3 linked regions of the Xenopus tropicalis genome follow. The protein of the gene in region 1 interacts with the protein of each later gene in a pairwise test. Links are inferred from orthologs where the notes say so. Each region holds a gene or a part of one and is shown in the gene's direction. Other genes may lie near its edges.

Region 1 (4,123 bases):
AGCAGCAGATTATATTTTAGTTACTTTTATACACTTTCATTTTTTGGTGTTACTGTTCCTTTAAATAGGGCCATTGGGCCATTTCATATTTTCATTAATGACACAGGCAGCCATATTGCTACTAACAGGGAAGCAGGAGGCCATTGATATGACAGTAATTAAAGACAGAAGCAGCCATATTGTTACACTGACAGCCATATTAAATAGCCATTGGACAATTATTATTCTACATAGTTATTAGTGACACTGGCAGCAATATTGCTACACACAGAAAGATTGTTATGAAAGACTTTCTAATGACACACTGACACACATATTACACTGTTATTACACACAGTTACTAGTGACACAGGCAGCCATATTGCTACACACAGGAAGACACTGTTATTAAACACTATTATTGACACAAGTAGCCATATTATGACACTGACAGCCATATTAAATTGGACCATTGTTATTTTTACAGTTATTAATGACAGGGGAGCCATATTGCTACACATAGGGAAGTAGAAGGCCATTGTTATTACACACAGTCATTAGTACCACAAGCAGCCTCATTATTAAAGTGGAAGCCATATTAAATAGCCATTGGGCCATTTCATATTTTCATTAATGACACAGGCAGCCATATTGCTACTAACAGGGAAGCAGGAGGCCATTGATATGACAGTAATTAAAGACAGAAGCAGCCATATTGTTACACTGACAGCCATATTAAACAGCCATTGGACAATTATTATTCTACATAGTTATTAGTGACACTGGCAGCCATATTGCTACACACAGAAAGATTGTTATGACAGACTTTCTAATGACACACTGACACACATAGTACACTGTTATTACACACAGTTACTACACACAGTTACTAGTGACACAGGCAGCCATATTGCTACACACAGGAAGACACTGTTATTAAACACTATTATTGACACAAGCAGCCATATTATGACACTGACAGCCATATTAAATTGGACCATTGTTATTTTTAGTTATTAATGACAGGGGAGCCATATTGCTACACATAGGGAAGTAGAAGGCCTTTGTTATTACACACAGTCATTAGTACCACAAGCAGCCACAATATTAAAGTGGAAGCCATTTTAAATAGGGCCATTGGGCCATTTCATATTTTCATTACTGACACAGGCAGCCATATTGCTACTAACAGGGAAGCAGGAGGCCATTGATTAAAGACAGAAGCAGCCATATTGTTGCAGTGACAGCCATATTAAAACACATTGAGCCATTGTTATTTCACACTGTTGCTGCCCCTGTCTATTCCATCAAGGGTAGGGCCTTGCAGCCGTGACGTCACGGACCGCCTCAGGCAAGCAGCCAATCAGGAGACGCGGAGGAAATGAAGTCACGGTATCCATCCGCGCCGTGTGGCCCGTGTCCCTCCGCGCCGCTCTCCCCTCTTTGTACGCAGCTGGCGGTTAGTGTCCGGCGGGTGTGACCGGGGGGAGGGAACCCCGGGGCGGGACCGAGCCTGGGAGCGAACGGGGCTGCGCGGCAGTAGGAGGAGGTAAGAGGCCGAGTGGGCGGGAAGGATGTACGGGTAGGCCCTGGGGCCCTGCAGTGTCGGGGTGCGGGAGTCCAGGCCACAATGTAACCTTCCACCTCCATGTTGCTTCATGGGGATTATTTTGTGAGGAGGAGCATGGTGTAGGGGTGAGGGCTCCCTGCTGTGAGTCTGTAGTGGGGTGTAAGCATCAGCACCCATGGGTGGGACAGCACCAAGGGGAATGGGGGGCTCACACAAGTGAGGGGTGGGACAATGGCAGCACCAAGGGGCCCCTCAGGCACAACTATATTATTATTATATTGCTGTGTATGTATATATATATATATGGCTGCCTGAATGCACACAGCTATCCCTGTCATGTACTGGCCAACTGGCCCATATATATATATATCATAGAGATGTGCGCGCCCAACGTTTGGGCCTTTATTTGCCCCCTTCCTCAGGCCGCAAGGATTCCCAGCCCCGCGGGTTTGACTCTGTGTGTATATATATATATATATATATATATATATATATATATGGCTGCCTGAATGCACACAGCTATCCCTGTCATGTACTGGCCAACTGGCCCATATATATATATCATAGAGATGTGCGCGCCCAACGTTTGGGCCTTTATTTGCCCCCTTCCTCAGGCCGAAGGGATTCCCAGCCCCGCGGGTTTCACTCTGTGGCCGTAGAACCGCATTTATGCGAATCCAGTTGCCCAATCCGTGATCTCCGGCTTTAGCCAATGAAATTGGAACCTGTTAGGGTTTAAAGGGGAAATATTGCGTGAAAAAAACATATGAATTGTACTTATCTCCCTATAGAAGGAATGGGCTTTAAAAAGTAGTGTTTTGGGTGTATTTATTGAAAATATCTTTATAAAACTCCACTAGTCCCGCCCATCTGTCCCACTTCCTGCTGGTTCCTTTCCCAGGCCCGCCCACTTCACCTTAGCACAGGAACCAATCAGCAGCTAGGCTGACCTGATAGGGACCCGAAGGCTGTCTGTGCTTGTGATTGGTTCTCCCACTCCTACTGTGCTTCTGGCAGGGACCGTTGGGACACGCCCACCCCTCATATGAAACCCAGACAGGGACCTGAGAGGATCTATAGGGAGCTCCAATAAAGGGGCCATTGTTACAGATTAATGTTTAGCCCAAAGGGAAACCAGCAGGTCCATTCCGTTTGTGTCCATATATTCTCTCCTGTGGGATATAGGAACTCTGGGTCGTTACCATGGTTACCTTTGGGCACAAAGTTCTTGTTCTGCCCTCGGATCATACCAAATTGAGCCCCAAACGGAATTTCGTTGGAAGTTGCACAATGTGTACCGGGCGCTGGGCCCAGAGCACCGGGGAGCCGAGTTCTGTTGGGTTATTGTAAATGAACCATAATTGCGAAATAATGATTTCTATTTATTTTTGATGTTTTTAGGATTAAAGGCAGAACTTGCAGCTGAATTCTCCGTGTCCAGGGATCAAATAGAAGGTACTGTTGGACTCTCGGCTCTGTCGCTGTATGTAGGAGGTTGGACTATTGGTTGGACTATTACAGTTGGTACATTAGTTGGTCAATTTCCCAGCAGCCCCTTCAGCCCCTACTGAGCATGCTCCCTGAGCGTTACTAACGTCTGTCCCATAGCAACTGTTACAGTTGGTACATTAGTTGGTCCATTTACCTGCAGCCCCTACTCAGCATGCTCACTGAGCGTTACTAATGCCTGTCCCATAGCAACTGTTACAGTTGGTCCATTAGTGGGTCCATTTCCCAGAAGCCCCTTCAGCCCCTACTGAGCGTGCTCACTGAGCATAACTAATGCCTGTCCCATAGCAACTGTTACAGTTGGTCCATTAGTTGGTCCATTTCCCAGCAGCCCCTTCAGCCTCTACTGAGCATGCTCCCTGAGCGTTACTAACATCTGTCCCATAGCAACTGTTACAGTTGGTCCATTAGTTGGTCCATTTCCCTGCAGCCCCTACTGAGCATGCTCACTGAGCGTTACTAATGCCTGTCCCATAGCAACTGTTACAGTTGGTCCATTAGTGGGTCCATTTCCCAGCAACCCCTTCAGCCCCTACTGAGCATGCTCACTGAGCGTTACTAATGCCTGTCCCATAGCAACTGTTACAGTTGGTCCATTAGTTGGTCCATTTCCCAGCAGCCCCTTCAGCCCCTACTGAGTATGCTCCCTGAGCGTTACTAACGTCTGACCCATAGCAACTGTTACAGTTGGTACATTAGTTGTTCCATTTCCCAGCAGCCCCTGAAATGGAACCATGAAGGATTTATAAACCCCAAAGTATGAGTATGAAGCAGTACAGGGGTATATGTAGCCCCCAAGCATGGTTGCAGAATGCCTACTGCCTCTAATACCCCAGTCCATACCCCGGAACTGACTTTGTGGCAACAAGAACACCCTGACTCTTTTGCATTTAGGTCTCCTCAGAATTTTCATGGGGTTCCACGTGGGTCTTTATTTCAGCATGGCAGATACACTAAACTCTCACCCCCCCCCCCCCCCCCATTTGCTGGTTATAATGGGCGGAGTCTGCATAGGGAAGCCACGCCCTGCTTCATTTGGCGCTCTGTGTTTTACAGATTTAACAG
Region 2 (3,549 bases), on another chromosome or scaffold:
GAATGCAGAAGCTTTGGGTTCCCTGGCATCTTTATCCATGAGAGGTTCAAGCCAGGATATTCAAGGTCTGACATCCAGTAATAGTCTGACCATTGACTCCACTTTAACGCCCTCAGTGAGCCTTGGAGCTAGCAGTTCCGTGCCAGAATTGCTGACCCCACCAAAAACGGACAGGAGTTTGATTCCAAACCCTGAGGTTGTGGGAGAACAGGAAGGAAGTAAAGTTGTAACACAGTTTGCATTCTCCAACCCCACTGGTAGTTATAGTGCACAGAAAGAGATGGATTACAGTTTGACAGCTGGGAGCTCCAGTTTGGTAAGTAGCTATATGTTGTATTTGGTGTTAAAAGCATTGAAAAGCCTTGTTATTCTGAGGATTAATATTGGAAATGTAATTCTTTTAAACAGGAGAGTGGCGGTTCAGCGAGAACAGATTACAGAGCCATTCAACTAGCCAAGAGCAAAAAGAAGGGGGGTTCTGCCGGTGCAGGTAGGAAATGCTCATTATGTGTAACCAGTGGTGCTTCCTTTGTGGGGCAGTAAGGGAAAACCTTGTAAAGGGGTGGAGAATTAAAGTGGCTGAGAGATTGTAATACTGAGTAGCTTGAATGCCTATGATAGTTGTGTTATAAAAATGAAACGCCCATTTTCCTGGTGAACAAATAAGCCCAATAAATTGTACAGATTTGTTACGCAACTGAAATAATTTTCGTAAAAGAATGATTGTTCTTCACCTCTTGTATCAGTTATTGATTGGCTTATATGTTACTCTGTATGTCCAACGTATGAAACCCACTTATTGTACAGCGCTGCGGGATATGTTGGCGCTTTATAAATAAATGTTAATAATAATAATTGTTCTGACTGCTGCATATTCTATTTGGATTTGTTAAATAAAGGGACTTCACCTACACAGAGGAAGAGCAAAAGTGCAAAGCAGAGCCCAGTGGCATCCTCCAGTGGCAGCAGATTTGGAAGCAACGCAGTTATGTCTAATGGCGGACTGACGCTACGAGACCCTGCTACTGGGGCCCAGTATGTGCAGATTCAGCTTCTACAGGTAAATGGCATTGACAAAGCTTTGGGCTTTGCTATAGACCAGTGATCCCCAAGCAGTGGCTCATGAGTAACATGTTGCTCACCCCCGCCACCTGCTTATCTTGTACCCAGTGGCCTCAAAGTAGGTGCCAATATTTCTCTTTCTGGCTTGGGGCAAGTTTTGGAAGCACAAAGACTATAATCCAAGCAGAGTCTCCTGCAGGCCAGCAGTTCACTTCGCTTCCAAATAGCCAATCACGGTCCTTATTTTAAATTCTCAAGATACTTTCTTCATGCTTGTGTGGCTCACCAACACTTTTTACATCTGTGTGTGGCTCACAATTAAAAAAGTTGGGGATCCCTGCTGTAGATTGTCCCTTGGCCTTTATTACCTAGAGCAGGAATGTCACTGTTCTTACACACATCCTCAAATGCTTACAGTAGATGGAGATTGTTTTTCATTGTTACACTGCACAGCGCTGCCCAGAGATAATTGAATCATGAAGCCTTTTATGGTGTTTAGTCTTGTGTAGCTTGTAGGACAATTGCAGTTCCCTTTGTTAGAATGACATTATATAATAAATAATCTATATAAGAAATAAACCATCAGACACCCCTGGCATAGTTGGTTTCTTTGTTCTCACTGTACTGCTGCTTTACTGCTTTCAGGATGATCCTCCAGGAGATGGAGACCTGCCTTTCCAGCTGAACGCTCAGTCTCCAGCATCACATGCCCAGCTCACTGTTGATCTGCCAGTACATATACTGCAGGTATGCCTACTTAGCGCCCATAGCTGTTCCTCCTTTCAGTTCTGAAACCCAAACGCATCCATTCTTTATTGCTTGTGTCCTTCACACACTGCTTTTGTCCCTTCGTTTCAGGAGCCTCACACTTCAACAGAGGAGGACGTGGCTTCAGATAATTCTCAGTTTACAGGAAGTACAATAAATCTGCAAGACCTGGAATAAGGGGTATTAAACTTCAGTATCGGGACAATGAAGCTGCCAGTATCTAGTGCTGCCTTTTTGCAGCATATTCCTCAAGCTGGACCAATAAATCTATAATGATGGCATTTTCTTATTGCACTATATTCTATGCTTTTACCCAGATGGTTTTCATATAAACGGGATGTTTATTTTTGAGGAAGAATTCTGGGGGCTGTTTTTTTTTTTGTGGTTGCTCATCACCCATCCGAAAAGACTGCGAATGTGGAATAGAATGGATTTCTAAGCAGAACTTACTGCCTGTTTTTTAATGAACAAAATATTCTTGTTTCCTACTTGTGATGTCCCCAATCTCCCAAAATGGATCATGGTTCAAGTCAAAGATTTCCTGATGCTCTGTAGGTATTAATAAGAGATCTCGTTAGAGACTGCATTATCTACCTCCTATAAAGACTCCCAGTGTTAAGTTTCCGGATTGTGCACAAAGTACAAGCTGCGGGCACCACTGATTCCATTACAAAAAAGAATGTATTGTTTTTTTTGTAAATAATAATTGCTAATATTTATTGGAGTGCATGTTGCTGGAGCCCATGTGCTTTGTTTGGCCGGTTTGTGGGGTACCAAAACCAGAGGGGTCCCCATGATTGAACAGATGTTGCACAGAGTACATAGGACCTAAACTGTGGTTTCATTTTTATATGTTTCTGAATATAGGGGTGCCCTCGCTGCTGCAGCAGTGCAGCCCCAACACAGCAGGGCCACAATTAATATCTCTTGACTGTAAAATTCTCTTCTCAGAATGGGCCTAAACCATCCTTCATTGCTGGGGCACCTTTCTCTTAACTCCAGTTCTTGTGTTGTATTTTTTTTGTACAAAAGTGTACAATTGTAAATGACTGTACATAAATATATATATATACGTATTTTCCCTCTTACATCACATGACCTTCTGAATTTTTTCTGGCTCTAAGAAAACATATTCTGAGTATTGTTATAAAAGTGTTTATCAAGCAATTTAGTGTTTGTCCTTAACATTATGCAATTTGAAGAGAAGGTAAATGGTTTTCCCCATGTTAGGTCTATTAAATGTATTTTAAAGTGAATCTATCACAGTAAAAGTGTTTCCCTCACTGGAGGTGCAGACTAATATAGTCTGAGCTCCGGTTAGGAAATAGTACTATTTGGGCAAGGTAATTCTCCTACTGCACTAGCAGTGTGGGCAGCTATGTTTTGTAATAAGCAGGCTGGAGCGTTTCTCATTATTCACATGCTTTAGAATCCCAGCATGGCCGCCTGAACCAAGAGCCCCCCTCCTGGTGGGGGTGGCATTTTTTTTACTGGGAGAATTTTCTGGCCCAAATAGTATTGTTTTCCCCAAACAGAGTGTGCACCTCCAATGGGGGAAAATCATTTTACTATGATAGGTGCCTGTTAAGTTTATAATCTGTGTGTATTTGAATATCTACTACATATGGGGTTCCTTGTTGACACCTGGTGGTACCTGAACTATAACAAAGCTCTTCCTGAAGTCACTTACTGGCTGTTTGTTTAAGATGAGCTTTCCTT
Region 3 (2,660 bases), on another chromosome or scaffold:
AACACCCCCAATAAAGTAAAATTTTACATTTAAATGTAATTTTCTAAAAGTATCTGATTTGTGGTGTTAGAGGGCCTGCAGACACACACAAGATCTTAAATGAGCTGCAGATAAGATGCTTCTTTCTTACACCTCTCCACACAGAGCAGATACTGCTTAGAGTGCTTAATATGCTGAATGACTTTCCCACGTTGGAAGAAATCTGCCTGGTAAATTAAATCCTGGGCCTTTGGTATTGCAAAATGCTCTGGAAAATGCACTGCTGAAATGTAGTTACAATTTTTTTGATACCATAAATATACCTTTGTCCAGCTGCATTGTGTAATACAATCTTTTTCTTTCTCAGAAATATTTGCATGAGTCCAGGCATCGCCATGCTATGGCTAGAAAGAGAGGGGATGGTGGACGTTTTTTCTCCCCTAAAGAAAAAGAGAGTCATCATTTACAGGTAAAAGATACATGAAAAAACAATAATAATGATGGCTTACAGAAATGTAGAGGCTTATGAGGAATACTGGACTACCAACACAAACACGGCCTCCCCAAGTACAGTCTGGGATGCATCTAAGGTTGCTGTGAGGGGAACTCTAGCTCAGGCAATAGCACAGGCCCGTAACAACGCTAAAGGCCAAGTGAAACAAGCAGAGGAGGAGCTGACCCAAGCAGAGAGAGAACACATTCTCTCACCCTCAGACCTCTCCTATAATAAGTTACTCCAAGCCAGGAATGCTCTAGAGAGAGAAGAAACAACTCTCACCAAAAAAGCTATCCTATACCAGTCCCAACGAACCTTCGAAAAAGGAGACAAAAATGGCAAACTCCTGGTTTTTCTAGCCAAGGCCCAAACCTCTCCCTCTGCAGTAGCAAGAATCCAAACCTCAACAGGGAGATGGGTCACTGAGCTCTCTCTTATAGCACAAGAATTTGCAGTGTTTTACCAAAAACTGTACACCTCTACGGTAAACTATACCCCTACTCAACTCTCCCAATATTTAGATACTATCACAATACCGACACTATCCCCAGGCTCCCGGGCATTCCTAGACCACCCAATATCCACCAAAGAAATAGAACAGGCCATAGCAGACCTACCCCCCAATAAAACCCCAGGCCCAGATGGACTCCCCTCGGAGTGGTACAAAACCCTATCGAAACCAATGTCAATCCACATTTTGAAAACCCTACAGTATGCATATGATACAAAGATGTTCCCCCCCCCCCCCATCCCAACTAGAAGCTCAAATAGTGGTAATCCCTAAACAAGGGAAAGACCCATCTGACTGCTCTTCCTATCGCCCTATTTCCCTCTTGAACACTGACGCAAAAATACTAGCAAAAATCCTGGCTAATAGGCTCAAGAGGGTTATAGCTGACCTCATACACCCTGATCAATCAGGATTTATGCCAGGAAGGTCTACAGCCTTCAATATCAGACGTCTATACACCAATTTGCAACTGACACACGCAGAGAAAGGTTCCAGAATCATCGCCTCTCTAGACTCAGCCAAGGCCTTTTATTCGAATGGCCATACCTGTGGGAAACGCTGAGAAAGTTTGGCCTGGGTCCAAGATTCATCACATGGGTAAAACTTCTATACAACGCTCCAAAAGCGTGTGTCAGGGTAAATGGGATTACCTCGGCCTTGTTCCCCCTGACGAGGGGTACAAGACAAGGATGCCCCCTATCCCCCATTTTATTTGCCCTAGCAGTCGAGCCCTTGGCTATACGTATCAGGGACTCACGATCTATTAAAGGCCTCACCTATCAAACAATAACCGAAAAAGTCTCACTTTTCGCAGACGATCTCCTTATATATCTAGCTGACCCCGATGCATCCCTATCTGCCCTGCTGCAAACAGTCAACCAATTTGGGAACTTCTCAGGATTAAAAATAAACTGGGAAAAATCGGTCCTCTATTCCCTAGACAATCCTAGCCCTCCAGCCCTGGCAGTAGATACTCCTCTCAAATGGGTCTCCTCCTTCAAGTACCTGGGCATCACAATACACTCAGGTCTCGATTAATATATACCCCACAACTTAACCCCTGATATAACCTCTCTCACGAATGATATGGAGAATTGGGCCAAACTGCCACTAACTCTATGGGGGCGAGTCAACATCTTTAAGATGATCTATCTACCAAAGTTTTTATATATTTTCCATAATGCTCCAGTATATTTCACTGCCAAAGTATTTAAAAAAAATTAATAAAATACTTTTTCCCTTTTTGTGGGTCAACAAACAACCCCGTATTTCATAGGAGAAACTAACTGCCTCCTATGCAGATGGAGGGTTGGCGCTTCCAAATCTACAGTTGTACTACATGGTTTCGCAGATATATTATCTACATTGGTGCTTCCTCCCAGACCCCTATAACCCAAACATGACACTTCAGGCTCTCATTTTGGGCTCAATAGAAGGGATGAGTAACTTTCCCTACCGACATGCTAACGATTTCCCTTAAGTACCCACTACACTCTCTGTGCCGTTTAGGAATTGGATTGCAGCCCTGAAACTCCATAAAAGAAACCCACCATTGGTCTCAGCTAGGCTCCCAATTTGGGGCAACTCCTATCTCCCACATCTCAGAAACCTACAAGAATTTATATTCTGGCCAACTCAAAATCTCAAATACCTCCTGTGACCTGCTGGAAAATT

The links. The genes of interacting proteins can lie anywhere in the genome.
Region 2: the proteins of pogz (region 1) and zxdc interact in binary tests that used the Homo sapiens proteins (3 or more experiments, as listed by UniProt). The link is inferred for Xenopus tropicalis from reciprocal best matches to the Homo sapiens genes POGZ and ZXDC.
Region 3: the proteins of pogz (region 1) and nfya interact in binary tests that used the Homo sapiens proteins (3 or more experiments, as listed by UniProt). The two-hybrid records come from large-scale screens. The link is inferred for Xenopus tropicalis from reciprocal best matches to the Homo sapiens genes POGZ and NFYA.

What each region holds. Positions count from the first base shown.
Region 1 is NC_030684.2:144,795,484-144,799,606, forward strand, and holds the start of pogz (pogo transposable element with ZNF domain), read left to right. Parts: upstream 1-1,320; 5' UTR 1,321-1,528; intron 1,529-1,652; exon of another isoform or gene 1,653-1,674; intron 1,675-2,950; 5' UTR 2,951-3,004; intron 3,005-4,123. UniProt on the Homo sapiens protein: Plays a role in mitotic cell cycle progression and is involved in kinetochore assembly and mitotic sister chromatid cohesion.
Region 2 is NC_030680.2:133,011,627-133,015,175, forward strand, and holds the end of zxdc (zinc finger protein ZXDC), read left to right. Parts: coding exon 1-316; intron 317-405; coding exon 406-490; intron 491-899; coding exon 900-1,060; intron 1,061-1,707; coding exon 1,708-1,809; intron 1,810-1,920; coding exon 1,921-2,007; 3' UTR 2,008-2,997; downstream 2,998-3,549. UniProt on the Homo sapiens protein: Cooperates with CIITA to promote transcription of MHC class I and MHC class II genes.
Region 3 is NC_030678.2:71,392,266-71,394,925, reverse strand, and holds part of nfya (nuclear transcription factor Y subunit alpha), read left to right. Parts: intron 1-346; coding exon 347-448; intron 449-2,660. UniProt on the Homo sapiens protein: Component of the sequence-specific heterotrimeric transcription factor (NF-Y) which specifically recognizes a 5'-CCAAT-3' box motif found in the promoters of its target genes.